Linked DNA regions of Anolis sagrei. The protein of the gene in region 1 purifies or fractionates together with the protein of each later gene. This does not show direct contact. Links are inferred from orthologs where the notes say so. Each region holds a gene or a part of one and is shown on either strand. Other genes may lie near its edges. The genes, in order: TGOLN2 and GALNT2.

Evidence for each region.
Region 2: the proteins of TGOLN2 (region 1) and GALNT2 purify together in Homo sapiens (affinity purification with mass spectrometry; 3 studies listed by BioGRID and IntAct, counting the BioPlex papers as one, with this or other methods). This does not show direct contact. The link is inferred for Anolis sagrei from reciprocal best matches to the Homo sapiens genes TGOLN2 and GALNT2.

What each region holds. Positions count from the first base shown.
Region 1 is NC_090027.1:16,335,651-16,343,118, reverse strand, and holds the start of TGOLN2 (trans-Golgi network integral membrane protein 2), read right to left. Parts: upstream 3,095-7,468; 5' UTR 3,023-3,094; coding exon 2,848-3,022; intron 1-2,847. UniProt on the Homo sapiens protein: May be involved in regulating membrane traffic to and from trans-Golgi network.
Region 2 is NC_090021.1:61,525,559-61,533,548, forward strand, and holds the start of GALNT2 (polypeptide N-acetylgalactosaminyltransferase 2), read left to right. Parts: upstream 1-4,977; 5' UTR 4,978-5,066; coding exon 5,067-5,177; intron 5,178-7,990. UniProt on the Homo sapiens protein: Catalyzes the initial reaction in O-linked oligosaccharide biosynthesis, the transfer of an N-acetyl-D-galactosamine residue to a serine or threonine residue on the protein receptor.

The DNA.
Region 1 (7,468 bases):
CCACATTGCCTGTTGCTAGGTGAAGTGGCCCTTCGCGTTTATGAGGGAGGAAAGAAGAATAGAGCCACTGAGAGACCCTCGTTGCTATGGAGACGACCTTGGCCCTCTCAGAGCTGGAGAAGGGAGAAAGTAGGTAAACAGCGGCCTCAATGTCACCCGGGCAGTGCCAGGTATGTGTGTATATATATATGTATATAGCCATCCCCTGCCATGCATTGCTGTGGCCCAGTCTGGTGATTTGGAAAATAAAGTACCGTAATGAGAAAGTGTTGGTTTCTAATATATGTAATTTCTTTATGCTTGTGGGTATACAGTATTTGATTATATTTTCGTGCCCTGGTGAAGGGAGTTGGACTGGATCGCCTTTTCTATTGGTCATAGCGGTTCTGTGTGGGATGTTTGCTCCCAATTCTATCATTCCTGGGGTTCAGAATGCTTTTTGATTTTGGTAGCAATTTGTCCAGTGGTTCTTGAGTTATGTTAATCCCACAGACGAACATTACAGTTTTATTTATATAGACTAGGCATTCCCTGCCATGCGTTGCTGTGGCCCAGTCTGGTGATCTGGAAAATAAAGTAATGAGAAAGTGTTGGTTTCTAATATATGTAATGTCTTGATACTTGTGAGTAAACAGTATTTCTTGTTGTTTCTTTGTTAGTGTTGATGTAGAGATTGTCTGGTTTGCCTACTAGGGAATATACAACATATAACTGTCCTTCTTCAGGGGTCTCTTTCAAATCTATGATACTATTATCTGTCATATATGTATATATGTGTGTGTGTGAATCATATCTATCTATATTTATGGCTGGATGGCTCTTTGTCAGGAGGGCTTTGATTATGTTTTCTTGCTCTGGTGAAAGGAGTTGGACTGGATGGCCTTAAGTATTTTCTGTTGGTCATGGGGGTTCTGTGTGGGAAGTTTGCCCCAATTCTATCATTCGTGGGGTTCAGAATGCTCTTTGATCGTAGGTGAACTATAAATCCCAGTAACTACAACTCCCAAATGGAAACGTCAATTTCCCCCAAACTCCATCTGTGTTCATATTTGGGCATTTGGAATATTTGTGCTAAGTTTGGCCCAGATACATCATTGTTTGAGTCCACAGTGCTCTGTGGTAGTAGGTAAACTACAACTCGTATCTATTTGTGTTTATATGTGTGTTTCCATATATATGTGTGTGTGGGTGTATAGATGTTTGTATATATATATGTGTGTGTGTGCATATATGTGTATATGTATATGTGTGTGTGCATATATTTGTGTATTTGTTTATATGTGTACATGCATATTGTGTATATGTGTGTTCTTGTCTATATGAATATTTGTGTATATGTATATGTGCATATATTTGTGTATTTGTTTGTTTATATGTGTACATGCATATTTTGTATATGTGTGTGCGCATATATTAGTGTATTTGTTTGTTTATATGTGTACATGCATAATGTGTATATGTGAGTTCTTGTCTATATGAATATTTCTGTGTTTATGTATATATGTATATCTGTGTGCATGTGTATATGTATGTGCATATATTTGTGTATTTGTTTGTTTATATGTGGACATGCATATTTTGTATATGTGTGTTCTTGTCTATATGAATATGTGTGTGTTTATGTGTATATGTATATGCATGTATATCTGTATGTGTGCATGTGTATATACACACACACACACATGTGTATGAGTGCATGTGTATATGTATATGAGTGTATTTGTATATGTATATATGGTGTATTTTTTGGATTTTTAAGTCTGTTCCGCTGGGTTTGTGTGTGTTTTAGGGATGATGGACACTTGTTGGACTGTTACGTGTATTGTGTCCAAATTTCGTGTCAATTCCCCCAGTGGTTTTTGAGTTATGTTAATCCCACAAACGAACATTAAATTTTTATTTATATAGATAGATAACACACACACACACACTACCGTAGTATATTAATAAATATGAGATGAACTTTCATGGTGGACTCATCAGCCACAGAAATGAACAGAAGCCTTTGATGATGCTGCTCTATCTCCATTGCCTACTGTTAAGAGCCTAGGTGTCATTTTGAATTTGCAGCTGACGATGGAGGCTCAGGTTGCTGCTGCCAGCAAACAGGCCTTTTTCCATCTACGACAAGCGAGGCAACTGGCACCTTACCTGTCGGATGAGGCTCTGGCAACAGTCATCCATGCCACGGTCACATCTAGGCTAGACTATTGTAACGCCTTGTATGTTGGCTTTCCTATTTCTACGACCCGAAAGCTCCGTATTGTTCAGAATGCTGCAGCCAGGTTACTCACAAAAACGCCCATGAAATGCCATATAACACCAGTGCTGCGGCATCTACACTGGCTCCCAATTGAGCATCGTGGTTTGTATAAGATGCTGGTCCTGACCTTTAAAACTTTATTTGGCCAGGATCCATTGTATCTTAGAGACCGCCTCTCCTTCTACCATCATCGGAGGTCGCCACGACCATCCCAACGCGATCTGCTCAATATACCGGGTCCTAGAGAAGTGCGCTTGGAAAGCACCAGACGCAGATGGGCCTTCTCTATTTCTGCCCCTGCCTTGTGGAATTCCTTGCCGCCCTATTTCCGAGCCATGCGCGACTTGGGGCGTTTTGTCCTGGCGCTTAAGACCTGGCTTTTTACTGGAGCATTTGACTCATGTTAATTTTAATATTTGTATGTATGCGTTTTATCCTGTGTAATTCCTGCAGTGTAAATCGCCTGGAGCATCTCGGATGGAGGGCGATTAATAAGTAATTAGAGATGAGATGAGAAGCGAAAGGGGAAGGGCAGGGAAACATGGGGGAAACATGGCCCGAGAGCCACCTCCTCGCGCTCTGACCTGGGCCCTCCTTTGCGGCCTCCTCCGCCTCTGCTTCCTCCGCGCCGCCGCCTGTTCCTCCTCCTCCTCCTGCTGCTGCTTCTCCTCCGCCGGGCTCCAGCGGCGCCGAGGCACCGAAGGCGGCCACTTGGAAGAGGAGGAAGAGCAGAAGGAGGCACCGCCGCGCGCTCGCCATGCCGGCCAAGCCCAGACTCTTTTCCGCTTCCCGCAACACCTCCACACGGGAAAAGGAAGTCCGTTCACGTCACATCCGCCGAGGGAGACTCCCCGAGCTCTGGTCTCCACTCTCGCGAGAATAGGAGGCGCCCTGTCACAGAAAGGGAGGGAAGGAGAAGGGGGCGGGGCTTCGTCGATGAGGCGCCCTAGAGCTACGAATGAACTAGAGTGCTGTAACATGCTTTGATTCTTCACTTGAGCATCTCATCAGGTTCCTTCATGGCTATATATATAGAGAGAGAGGGTGCATCTTCTAAAGGCCAATGAAATTCATATTAAAATTCTATAAAGCCACAAGGATAATAGCACATTTTATTTATTTATTTATTTACTTTGCTTCTATACCGCTGTTCTCAGCCCAAGGGTGACTCACAGCGGTGTACAACATGGGAAGAACAAAATACAAAACACAGTATAAAAACAATTCTCAAACCATTATGCAAAAAACATACAAAAAGCATTATACAAAACATTGTCATTACTACGAAACCATTCAGCATCGTCTCATTGTCTAAACCACAATCCAATATCATTTTCCGTTATTCCATTCCTATAGTCATTACCAATCATTGCACTTCTTGTTCGAACGTCTTCTTGAACAACCAGGTTTTTAATTTTCTGTGGAATATCAACAGGGAAGGAGCCTGTCTGATGTCCATGGGAAGGGTGTTCCACAGCCGAGGGACCACCACCGAGAAGGCCCTATCTCTCGTCCCCGCCAGCCATGCTTGTGAAGCAGGCGGGATCGAGAGCAGGGCCTCCCTGGAAGATCTCAAAGTCCTGGTGGGCTCATAGGTCGAGATGCGGTCGGATAGGTATCTTGGGCCAGAACTGTTTAAGGCTTTATAGGCCAACGCCAGCACCTTGAATTGGGCCCGGTAGCAAATTGGCAGCCAGTGGAGCTGGTACAACAAGGGGGTTTTATGCTCCCTACGTCCCGCCCCTGTTAGTAACATGGCTGCCGCACGTTGGACTAATTGAAGCTTCCGGGCCGTCTTCAAAGGCACCTCCACGTAGAGAGCATTGCAGTAGTCTAAACGGGATGTAACCAGAGTGTGGACTACTGTGGCCAAGTCAGACTTCCCAAGGTACGGGCGCAGCTGGCGCACGAGCCTTAGCTGTGCAAAGGCTCCCCTGGTCACCGCCGAGACCTGGGGCTCCAGGCTCAGCGACGAATCCATTTTCTTCACAACTGTCTAGGATACTCTGCTTGAAGTAATATATTAGAGTTGAAAACCCGTTGCTAGGTGAAGTGGCCCTCTGCGGTGTCACTGGTTTAGCTGTTGCTAGGTGAAGTGGCTTTCTCCGATGCCACTGGCCTGGTTGTTGCTAGGTGGCCTTCTGCGGTGTCACTGGTCTGGCTGTCGCTAGGTGAAGTAGCCCTCTGCAGTGTCATTTATCTGGCTGTTACTAGGTGGCCTTCTGCGGTGTCACTGGTCTGGCTGTCGCTAGGTGAAGTAGCCCTCTGCAGTGTCATTTATCTGGCTGTTACTAGGTGGCCTTCTGCGGTGTCACTGGTCTGGCTGTTGCTAGGTGAAGTGGCCCTTTGTGGTGGTGCTAGCCTTGCTGTTGCTAGATGAAGTGGTCCTCTGGTGTCACTGGCCTGTCTGTCGCTAGGTGAAGTGGCCCTCTGCAGTGCCATTGATCTGGCTGTTGCTCGGTGAAGTGGCCCTCTGGGGTACCACTAGCCTTGCTGTTGCTAGGTGAAGTGGCCCTCTGCATTGTCACTGGCCTGGTATCACTAGGTGAAGTGGCCCTCTGCAGTGTCATTGATCTGGCTGTTGATAGGTGGCCCTCTGCGAGGTCACTGGTCTGGCTGTTGCTAGGTGAAGTGGCCTGGCTGTCGCTAGGTGAAATGGCTCTCTGCAGTGTCATTGATCTGGCTGTTGCTAGGTGAAGTGGCCCTCGGGGGTACCACTGGCCTTGCTGTTGCTAGGTGAAGTGTCCATCTGCAGTGTCACTGGCCTGGCTATTACTAGGTGAATTGGCCTTCTGCGATGTCACTGACCTTGCTATCGGTAGGTGAAGTGGCCCTCAGCAATGTCACTTGGAAAGAATTGTGAGGCATACAAAGTGAATGGGGGAAAGAGCCATAAAGAGGGACACATTGCCATGGAGATCTTGTGAGGTAGGCCCTCTCAAGAGCTGGAGAAGGGAGAAAGAGAAGGAAATAAAAAAAGGGGGGGGGCGAAGGGGTGAGAAAGAAGGCATGACAGTAGTGTAACAATACCTTAGTAATGCCAGGTATATACGGTAACATGCACACATCACTACAAAAACACACCTTGCAATGTACTGAGAAGGTATAATAAGAGACAAGAATGTCGCAATTTCATAAACAGATTATTGACAGGTGGTGATACACATATTACCAGACCTACTACAGGTGTCTGTGGCCAGGCACATCAGCCCTAGTGGAAGATTGTTGTGCGTGAAGGAGGAGAAATACAACGCCTCGCATGTCTGTGAATTGGGCGGCCTGCAAAACTCTCTTGTTCCAGACAGCCATGTAAGGTCTGCCAAGTTTGTAAAAGTCAGCTCCTTAAGTCTCTAGAAATAGACTCAGCTAAACAATTATCACATAGCACCATCTTGTGGTCTCCGTCATATTTTTTTTCTTCTGAGATCATGAAAATCGTGGATGAAATCCTTCTTACAAATTAATTGATGGCTTGGAAATTGTCGGTTTTTGTGATCTCATTGAGGTGGATTCCCCTCGTTCAATCTGTTCTATCCCCAGCCTTGCCCAAAGAAGAGGAATAGCTTAGTTCGCTACCATTGTTATTGTTATGTGTCTCTAAATAATTTCCAATTGATGATGACCTTAAAACCAACATATCATTGGGTTTTCTTGGCAAGATTGGTTCAGTATGAGGTTGCTGTCACCTTCTTCTACTGGACTGTTTTGACATTCTATGGCAGTGTTTCTCAACCTGGGGGTCAGGACCCGTGGGGTTGCAAGAGGGTTTCGGGGGGGGGGGGGGGGGTCGCCAAAGACCAACAGAAAACATATTGATAGTCTGAAGATCTCTCCACCTGTCCTCTTCCTTTTTGGAAACAGAGGTCAAATCCGCACTCCTCTGCTGTGATTGGCCGACCTCTCATCCAAGGAGAAGGTTGTTTTTGAGACTCCAAGCAGGGAGAGGAGAGTAGGTGTGCTCAGCACGTGGCAGTGTGTTGTGTATGTGTGGCCGAGGGAGAGCGTGCAGGGCTGGAGGGAGGCTCACGCCAGCAAGTCTCTTCAAGCTATGGGGGTTCTGCATGGGAAGTTTGGCCCAATTCTATCGTTGGTGGGGTTCAGAATGCTCTTTGATTGTAGGTGAACTATAAATCCCAGCAACTACAACTCCCAAATGTCAAGGTAAATTTTCCCCAAGCTCCATCAGTGTTCACATTTGGGCATATTGAGTATTTGTGCCAAGTTTTGTCCAGATTAATCATTGTTTGAGTCTACTGTGCTCTCTGAATGTAGGTGGACTACAACTCCAAAACTCAAGGCCAACACTCACCAAACCCTTCAAATTTTTTCTGTTGGTCATGGGAGTTCTGTGTGCCAAGTTTGGTTCAATTCCATTGCTGGTGAAGTTCAGAATGCTCTTTGATTGTAGGCGAACTATAAATCCCAGCAATTACAACTCTAAAATGCCGTCTATTCTCCCCAGTTACCACCAGTGTTCACTTTTGGACATATTGAGTATTCGTGCCAAGTTTGGTCCAGATCTATTTTCTGCTGGTCGTGGGAGTTTTGTGTGCCAAGTTTGGTTCAATTCTATCGCTGGTGGAGTTCAGAATGCTCTTTGATTGTAGGTTAATTATGAATCCCAGCAACTACAACTCCCAAATGACAAAATCAATCCCCCCCCCCCCCCAAACCATCAGTGTTCAGATTTGGGCGTATCAGGTATTAATGCCAAATTTGGTCCAATTAATGAAAATACATCCTGCACATCAGATATTTACATTACGATTCGTGCTGCCATGGATTCTTGTTTGACCAGTACTTGTGGATAATACTTCATGCTATTTGCCTTTGGACCTTGGAAACTCTGCCTTTGCAGTTGAGACTCTGTTTTGGCTATTGAACTTTTGCAACCTTATTTCTACATTTATGATTTTGTTTTTCTTCAATAAACTACAAAACCTACAGCCTTGGTGTGTGGTGTTGTTCTGAGCAAGGTGAATCTATCCTGAGTTGCGACAACATCATCATCTCTGAATAAGCATTTATTTATTTTATAAATGTCACAACAATGTTTTATTTTCGACTTCTGGGGCTGCCAGAAGTCTCAGCCGGCAAGACCAATAGTCAGGGATTTACAGAAAAGTGAAACTGTAAAGGGGAGTAGCAACGACAGTTTGCAAATGCTGCATGAATGGCACTGGAAAGCATTTCAACAATCCCAGC
Region 2 (7,990 bases), on another chromosome or scaffold:
AGCTATTCTCCTTGGTCTAATAAGACCAACCCAAAGATATTCTATTGTCTGAGCCAAAGAACAAAACAGTGTCCCCTCCACTATATAAACAGAAACTGATTACACAAGCTTGGTTCAATACTGCAATGGGACAAGGCAGCAAGGCACACCTCAAGGCCATAGATGGCTGGATTTCTTCTTTGGTCGCCACAGCTCTCTTTCAAGAAGAGAGAATGATCAGAAGTCTCTTCCATTTGCTGAATGGTGGGACCAGGTTTTCAACTCACAGAAGCTAGGGCTATATTAACAAAACTTTGGGAAAAGACATCAATGCAAATAGAGTGGGCTATGAAAACCTAAGATTCCATAGAAATGGACAAATTACTAATTTTGTTTGAAGAGAAGACTGCAGAAATATTTAAGGAAAATTGAGTTTAGTGACTGAACTTCCTGACTGTGAGAGCTGTTCAGAAGGGGAACTCTCTGCCCCGGAGTGTGGTGGCGACTCCTTCTTTGGAGGCTTTTAAACAGAAGCTGGATGGCCATCTGTTGGGGTTGCTTTGAAAGCAATTTTCCTGCTTCTTGGCAGGGGTTTGGATTGGATGGCCATGAGGTCTCTTCCAACTCTATGATTCTATTAAAATGAGGGCAGAAATAACTCCAGTTTTTTAAAAGACACATACAATTAAATTATATGACCAATTTGGTATTAGAATTCTATATAAAGATTTTAATTTTATTATAAATTAAGATATTTTAATTTTATAATAAATAAGGTAGAATCAGTAATGGAACAACAATTGGGGCCTGGAAAACTGGAAAACAAGGATATCAGGAGGAGAGGCTGACTACCCACAAAAGGTTACTACTACCACATCAGCTCTAGATTATTAAATAGGGTTTTCTGTGGGTGAGCAGATAGGGACTACTAGACAGCATATGCTCTGTATCAGAAACTAGAGCTGATGTGGTCTATCCAATGCAATTTTCTGAATCAGCATCCCAAATAACCAAACTGAATGAAAAGTTGATCAAAAACTCCAAAATGTTGGAGTGTAGTCCCTGGTCAAAGTGGTCCCTGTTCAAGTCGTGTCTGGTAAAAAAAGAAAAGAAAAGATTAGATAGGGAGAGAGGGGGAGTGAATATATATAGTGTGGAATGGATATGTGTTGTTAGTTTATTTTTTGGAGTGCAAGACAGGAGTGGATTAAAACATGAAAAAGGACCAAGTCTATTGTTTATTTCAGAATTATTAAACTGCATTAAATGTGGATGCTGAGTTACCTTAAACATGACAACAAAATTAAGGAGCCATTTTGTAAAATATTATCCAAGAGAAGGAAGAAATGTTCTCCAGACTCCATGGAGCTCAGCAAACTGGGAAGGCAATGGGGTTATTTTGCACAGGTATGGTGAAAATGCCAGCATTATGTGAACTTGGGTTTGTTGAATTAAACATCTTCAGTTGGAGAGTCCTTGGGAGATTTTGTTGGGCTAAGGCTGGATAAAGTCAAAACAGGTTGGGAACCACTGATCTAGTTGAACATAGATGTAGGGAAAGGTGGGGTTTGTTTATATTGTTGTGTGTGTCATTATTGTTGTTATTATTTTATAATTTTTGGGTAAATGTGTATACTTGGTAGTTTAAAATTGATATGTAAGTTAATTAAAAAACCAGAAACACGGGGCAATGACATAATAATAATAATAATAATTTTATTTATTACCTGCTTCTCTTGATGGTTTGAGGCAGGGTACAGTACAACAAAGTCAAAAACATATGAACATATAATATGTACAATAAATACTTCGATTAAAACACAAAAATATTTTTAAAAACTTGCATCAAACACAGATACAGAATTGACATAAAGTAGCAACAAAATGCAAATCAAATAACTAGCCTACATATGCCTATTGAGGTTTGTAGACCAAACTTGGCCAGCTAGTTTTACTTTTATTATACAGTCTTTTTATACCCACAGATTTGCAGAGAAGTGTATATGGGAAAATCATGCCAGAAAACTTTTAAGAAATCATACTACACACCATTTTCATGATGTTAATTCACTGCCAAAGCTTTGAAAAATTCCACCTGTCCAACCAAGTTTGGAAAGCCAGTGTGGTCATTTGAGCATGCTGGTTGCTAGATTGTGCAAATTGTAATTATTATTTTTTTTAAAACCAGAACATTTTCTAAGCTTTACTCGCTGTTTTGGAGGGAAGAGCTATTATTTATTTATGGTGTAAGGCAGTGGTTCTCAATCTGTGGGTCCCCAGGTGTTTTGGCCTACAACTCCTAGGGAAGTTCCAACTTCCATAGGGAAGCTGATGAGGAAACACAACATACAAACAATCTACAAACCCACCAAGAAAATCCAACAAATGCTACGTTCAGCAAAGGACAAGAGGGATCCTCTCACCTCTGCAGGAGTCTACCGTATACCATGCAGCTGTGGACAAGTCTACATAGGGACCACCAAACGCAGCGCCCAGACACGCATCAAGGAACATGAAAGGCACTGCAGACTCCTTCAACCAGAGAAGTCAGCCATAGCAGAGCACCTGATGAACCAGCCTGGACACAGCATATTATTTGAGAACACAGAAATGCTGGACCACACCAACAACCACCATGTCAGACTACACAGAGAAGCCATTGAAATCCACAAGCATGTGGACAATTTCAACAGAAAGGAAGAGACCATGAAAATGAACAAAATCTGGCTACCAGTATTAAAAAACTCTAAAATTATAACAGCTAAACAACAGAGAGGAAAAAACCAGGCACAGATTAACACCTCCCAGCAACAGATTTTCCCAGGCTCAGGCAGGCCTTCAAATGCTAATGAAGGTGATCAGCTAAACATTCACACCTAACTGCAGCAGGGAAGAGCTCCTTGCCCCACCCCAGCCATTCCACAGATATATAAACCCATTTTTCCTACTTCCAACAGACCTCACAACCTCTGAGGATGCTTGCCATAGATGCAGGCGAAACGTCAGGAGAAATGCCTCTAGAACATGGCTCTATAGCCCGAAAAAACCCACAAGAACCTAACTCCTAGAAATCCCAGCCAGTTTACCAGCTGTTAGGATTTCTGGGAGTTGAAGGCCAAAACATCTGGGGACCCATAGGTTGAGAACCACTGGCGTAAGGGAAGGAATCCCTGTTGCTTTTGCAGTGTGTGAAGTTGTTGTTGTTCATTCGTTTCTGACTTCGTGACTTCATGGACCACGCTAGAGCTCCCTGTCAGCCGTCACCACCCCCAGCTCCTTCAAGGTCAATCCAGTCACTTCAAGGATACCATCCATCCATCTTGCCCTTGGTCACTCCCTCTTCCTTTTCCCCAGCATAATTGTCTTTTCTAAGCTTTCCTTTCTTCTCATGATGTGGCCACAGTACTTCATCTCGGCCTCTAGTATTCTTCCCTCCAACGAGAAGTCAGGCTTTATTTCTTGAAGTATGGACTGGTTGGATCTTCTCGCTGTCCAAGACACTCTCAGAACTTTCCTCTAGCACCACAGTTCAAAAGCATCTTCCTTCACTCAGCCTTCCCTATGGTCCAGCTCTCACATCCGTAGGTGACTGTGTGTGAGGTATGTGTGTGAGGTAGGTAACACTATATCACACTAGAGAAAAAATCCACTTCAAATCCAGTTTCTACCTCCTGCAGAATTCTGGCGTTTGTAGTTTAGAGAGGAGCCTTTAACAGCATTATTTTATTATTATTATTATTTGCATTTGTTAACCGCCACTCTCAGCCCGAAGGCGACTCATAGAATCATAGAATCAAAGAGTTGGAAGAGACCTCATGGGCCATCCAGTCCAACTATAATATCTTCTCTCAGCCAAGAAGGAGGAACATTGCATTCAAAGCACCCGACAGATGGCCATCCAGCCTCCCTTTAAACGCCTGGAAAGAAGGAGCCTCCGCCACACTCCGGGGCAGAGAGTTCCACTGCTGAACAGCTCTCACAGTCAGGAAGTTCTTCCTCATGTTCAGATGGAATCTCCTCTCTTGTAGTTTGAAGCCATTGTTCCGCATCCTAGTCTCCAAGGAAGCAGAAAACAAGCTTGCTCCCTCCTCCCTGTGGCTTCCTCTCACATATTTATACATGGCTATAATATCTTTTCTCAGCCTTCTCTTCTGCAGGCAAAACATGCCCAGCTCCTTAAACTATTAAACTACAAACCCCAGAATTCTGCAGGAGGTAGAAACTGGATTTTAAGTTGATTTTTTCTCTAGTGTGATGAGGGCAGAAGTGAGATGTTTGATAATAACTATGCTTAAATAAGTTACTGCAAAATCAAATGTTTGTTATTATTATTATTATTATTATTATTATTTCCTATTTTATCACCACTCCACTTGCTGACTGAGGTATGTAAAAGTCTTTTGAAATCCACTCTAATAATGAAATACATCAAAAAACAAAACTCTACAGGACTAGAGCTGCCGAAAGTGCAGCCTGAACGCCAGCTCTTCCTCCTCCAGTGAGACATACCTTTCCCACGCCTGGCATGAAGAAAGGAGAGGCCTTCCAACCTCCCGCTCCACACGCCTTTACTTCGAGGCAAGTCCCTTCTGCGGAGCTTCTCCCCGGGGGAAGGCCAGGCTCGTACGGGAACGACATCTCATGTCCCGCGGAGAGGGTTCTATGGGACGGGAAGCCTGGGAAGGTAGGCCCCTGAGGCTGGAAGTCCCCTGAGGCTGGAAGGCAGGGCGCCGGCCTCGGCTGCCACCCGGGCTCCCAGCTCTCGGAAGAGGCCTAGCTGTGGTTGAAGCGGCGCTAAAGGACCGAGAGGCATGAAAGGAAGAGGGACCCCAGGAGGCCCCGCGTGCTGCAACCATGGCGACGGCGCGGCTGAGCTCCGCCCCGCGCGGCGCTTGGCGGCCGGCGATTGGCCAGAGGGTGGGCGCGCGCCCTCTGCCCCTTGACCCTTGTGCGGCGGCGGCGGAGGGGGAGGAGGAAGGCGGGCAGGAGGGCGGGCGGTGGAGGCGGCAGCGGCATCGCCTGCCGCCCCTTTCCTGCTGGCCTGGCGGCGGCTGGTGCCGCGGCTGCAGCACTGGGCGGGCGGGAGGATGCGGCGCAAGTCTCGGCTGCTGCTCTGCTTCGCCTTCCTCTGGGTGCTCGGCATCGCCTACTACATGTACTCCGGGGGCAGCGCCGCCCTCGCCGGCGGAGGAAGGAAGGTGAGGAGCAGGAGGGGGGGGGGGGCGCGGCTTCCCTTCGCCCTCAGCCGGGGAGAAGCCTCGCTGGACCTTCTCCTCACGGCTCCCCCGTTTGCCTGCCTGCCTGCCTTCCTTCCTGCCGAGGCTCCTTCTTTTCCCTCAGGCTCCTCGCCCATTCCTCTCCCTCTCCCTCCTTCGCCTTTCTCCTGTCATGGAGGACTCCCTTCCCTTTCCTCTCTTCCTTCCTTCCTTCCTCTCTCTCTTCTTTCCTTCCTTCCTCGGCTTCCTCAGTCTCCTCGCTGCTGCTTCTTCCATTTCCTCTTTCCATCCTGCCTCCTTCCTTTTTTCCTTCCTTCCTTCCTGCCAAGGCTCTTTCAAGTACCTCAGGCTCCTCGCCTCTTTCGCCTTTCATGGAGGATTTCCTTCCCTTTCCTCCTTTTCCTCTCTTATTTCTTTTCTCCTTCCATGCTGCCTCCTTCCTTCCGTCCTTTCCCCCCTTCCTTCCTGCCGAGGCTCTCAGGCTCCTTGCCTCTTCCTCTTTCGCCTTTCATGGAGGATTTCCTTCCCTTTTCTTCTTTCCTTCCTCTCTTCCTTGGCTTCCTCAGTCTCCTCGCTGCTTCCTCTTCCCTTCCTTCCATGCTGCCTCCTTCCTTCCTTCCTTCCTTCCTTTTTGCATTCCTTCCTTCCGAGGCTCTTTCGTTTACCTCAGGCTCCTCGCTCCTTCCTCTTTCTCCTTCCATGGAAGACTCCCTTTCCTCACTTCCTTCCTTGGCTCCTTCAGGCTCCCCGCTGCTTCCTTTTCTCTTTCCTTCTTCTATGTTGCCTCCTTCCTTCCTGTTATCCTTCCTTTCGAGGCTCTTTCGTTTACCTCAGGCTCCTCACCCCTTCCTTCCTCAGTTCCTTCAGTCTGCTGGCTGCTTCCTTTGCCCTTTCCTCCCTCCATGCTGCCTCCCTTCTTCCTTCCGGCTTTCCTTCCTTCCTGCCGAGGCTCTTTCCTTTACCTCAGACTCCTCACTCCTTCGCCTTTCTCCTTCCATGGATGACTCCCTTTCCTCCTTTTCCTCTCTTCCTTGGTTCCTTCAGTCTCCTTGCTGCTTCCTCTTCCCTTTCCTCCCTCCATGCTGCCTCTTCCTACCTTCGTAGGCTCTTTCCTTAAGTCAGACTCACTCCTTTCGCCTTTCTCCTTCCATGGAGGACTCCCTTCCCTTTCCTCCTTTCCCTCTCTTCCTCCCTCCCTCTCTTCCTCGGTTCCTTCAGTCTCCTCGCTGCTTCCTCTTCCCTTTTCCCTTTCCTCCCTCCATGCTGCCTCTCCCTCCCATCCTCCTTTCCTTCCTGCCGAGGCTCTTTCCTTAAGTCAGATTCACTCCTTTCTCCTTCCATGGAGGACTCCCTTCCCTTTCCCTCTCTTCCTTCCTTCCTCGGTTCCTTCAGTCTCCTCGCTGCTTCCTCTTCCCTTTCCTCCTTCCATGCTGTCTCCCCCCCCCCCTTCCTTCCTGTCGGAGGCGTGAGGGGATGTCCTCTTTGGGGAAACTGGGGCGCCTCGTGACTGCTTCTTCTTCGGTGGGAACAGGGTCCCCGTGAATGTGTATGCGTGTGTATTGAGGAAATGGGCGCCACGAGGAGCTCCTTCCCGGCTGAAACCCAGCCAGGCTGTTGCGCCTTCTTCGCCTTGGGCGAACCAGGTCTTCCTCTCTCCCTCCCTCCCTCGCGGGGAGGAAGTGCTGCGTACTGCTTCCATGTTTGAAATACCCGAAAGGAGGTCTCTGTGAGGAAGGGGCCGGCTTGTGCTCTGCTGCCTCTGGATCACTCCTGGGCAAACTTGGGCCCTCCCTCCAGGCGTTTTGGACTTCAGCTCCCACCATTCCTAACAGCCTCAGGCCCCTTCCTTTCTCTCCTCAGCCGCTTAAGGGAGGGCCCAAGTTTGCTCATGCCTGCTCTGGACAATGTGGAGGAGTTAAAAGGCAGGGAAACATATTTTACCTAACCCTTTGGAAGAACTTCCTCGTGTGATAGAAGCTCCGTAGTGTGATAGAAGCTCCTCCTCTAGAGGTTTTTTTTTTTTAAGCCGGATGACCCTCTCTTCAGAGAGCTTTCATTGTGTGGCAGAATGGGGTTGGACTGGTTGGCCCAGGTAGTCTCTTCTATGACTTGCCAAGATTTATGATTCCTTGTCGAAGGCTTTCATGGCTGGAATCACTGGGTTGCTGGGAGTTTTCCAGGTTTGATGGCCATGTTCCAGAAGCATTCTCTCCTGATGTTTTGCCCACATCTATGGCAGGCATCCTCAGAGGTGGAGGGGTCTTTTAGAAACTAGGCAAGTGTGGTTTACATATCTGTAGAATGTCCAGCGTGGAGAAAAGAATTCTTGTCTTTTTGAGGCAGGTGTGAATGTTGCAAAAAGTAGGGGAACTCCAGACAAGAATCAATGAGGGCCAGCTAACATCTCCCAACAAAGGATTCCCCAGGCAGCAACCAGCCAGGCTTTGAAACTGCAAGGCCATTAAATGCTAATCAAGATGGCCAAATTGCAACATTCACACCTGCCTCAATCAGACCAGAGTTTTTCCCCCCACCCTGGACATTTTACAGATATATAAACCCCACTTGCCTAGTTTCCAACAGATCCCTCAACCTTTGAGAATGCCTGGCATAGATGTCGATGAAATGCCAGGAGAGAATGCTTCCGGAACATGGCTATACAGTCCGGAAAACTCACAGAAACCCATCATTAGAGTTCTCCTTCCCTTCGAAGCATGGTGCCAAGGTTCATATCTTGCCATATTCTGTGCTCACCTCCTCCTTAGGTGTTCCTTACTCCATCCCTGCATGTAGGA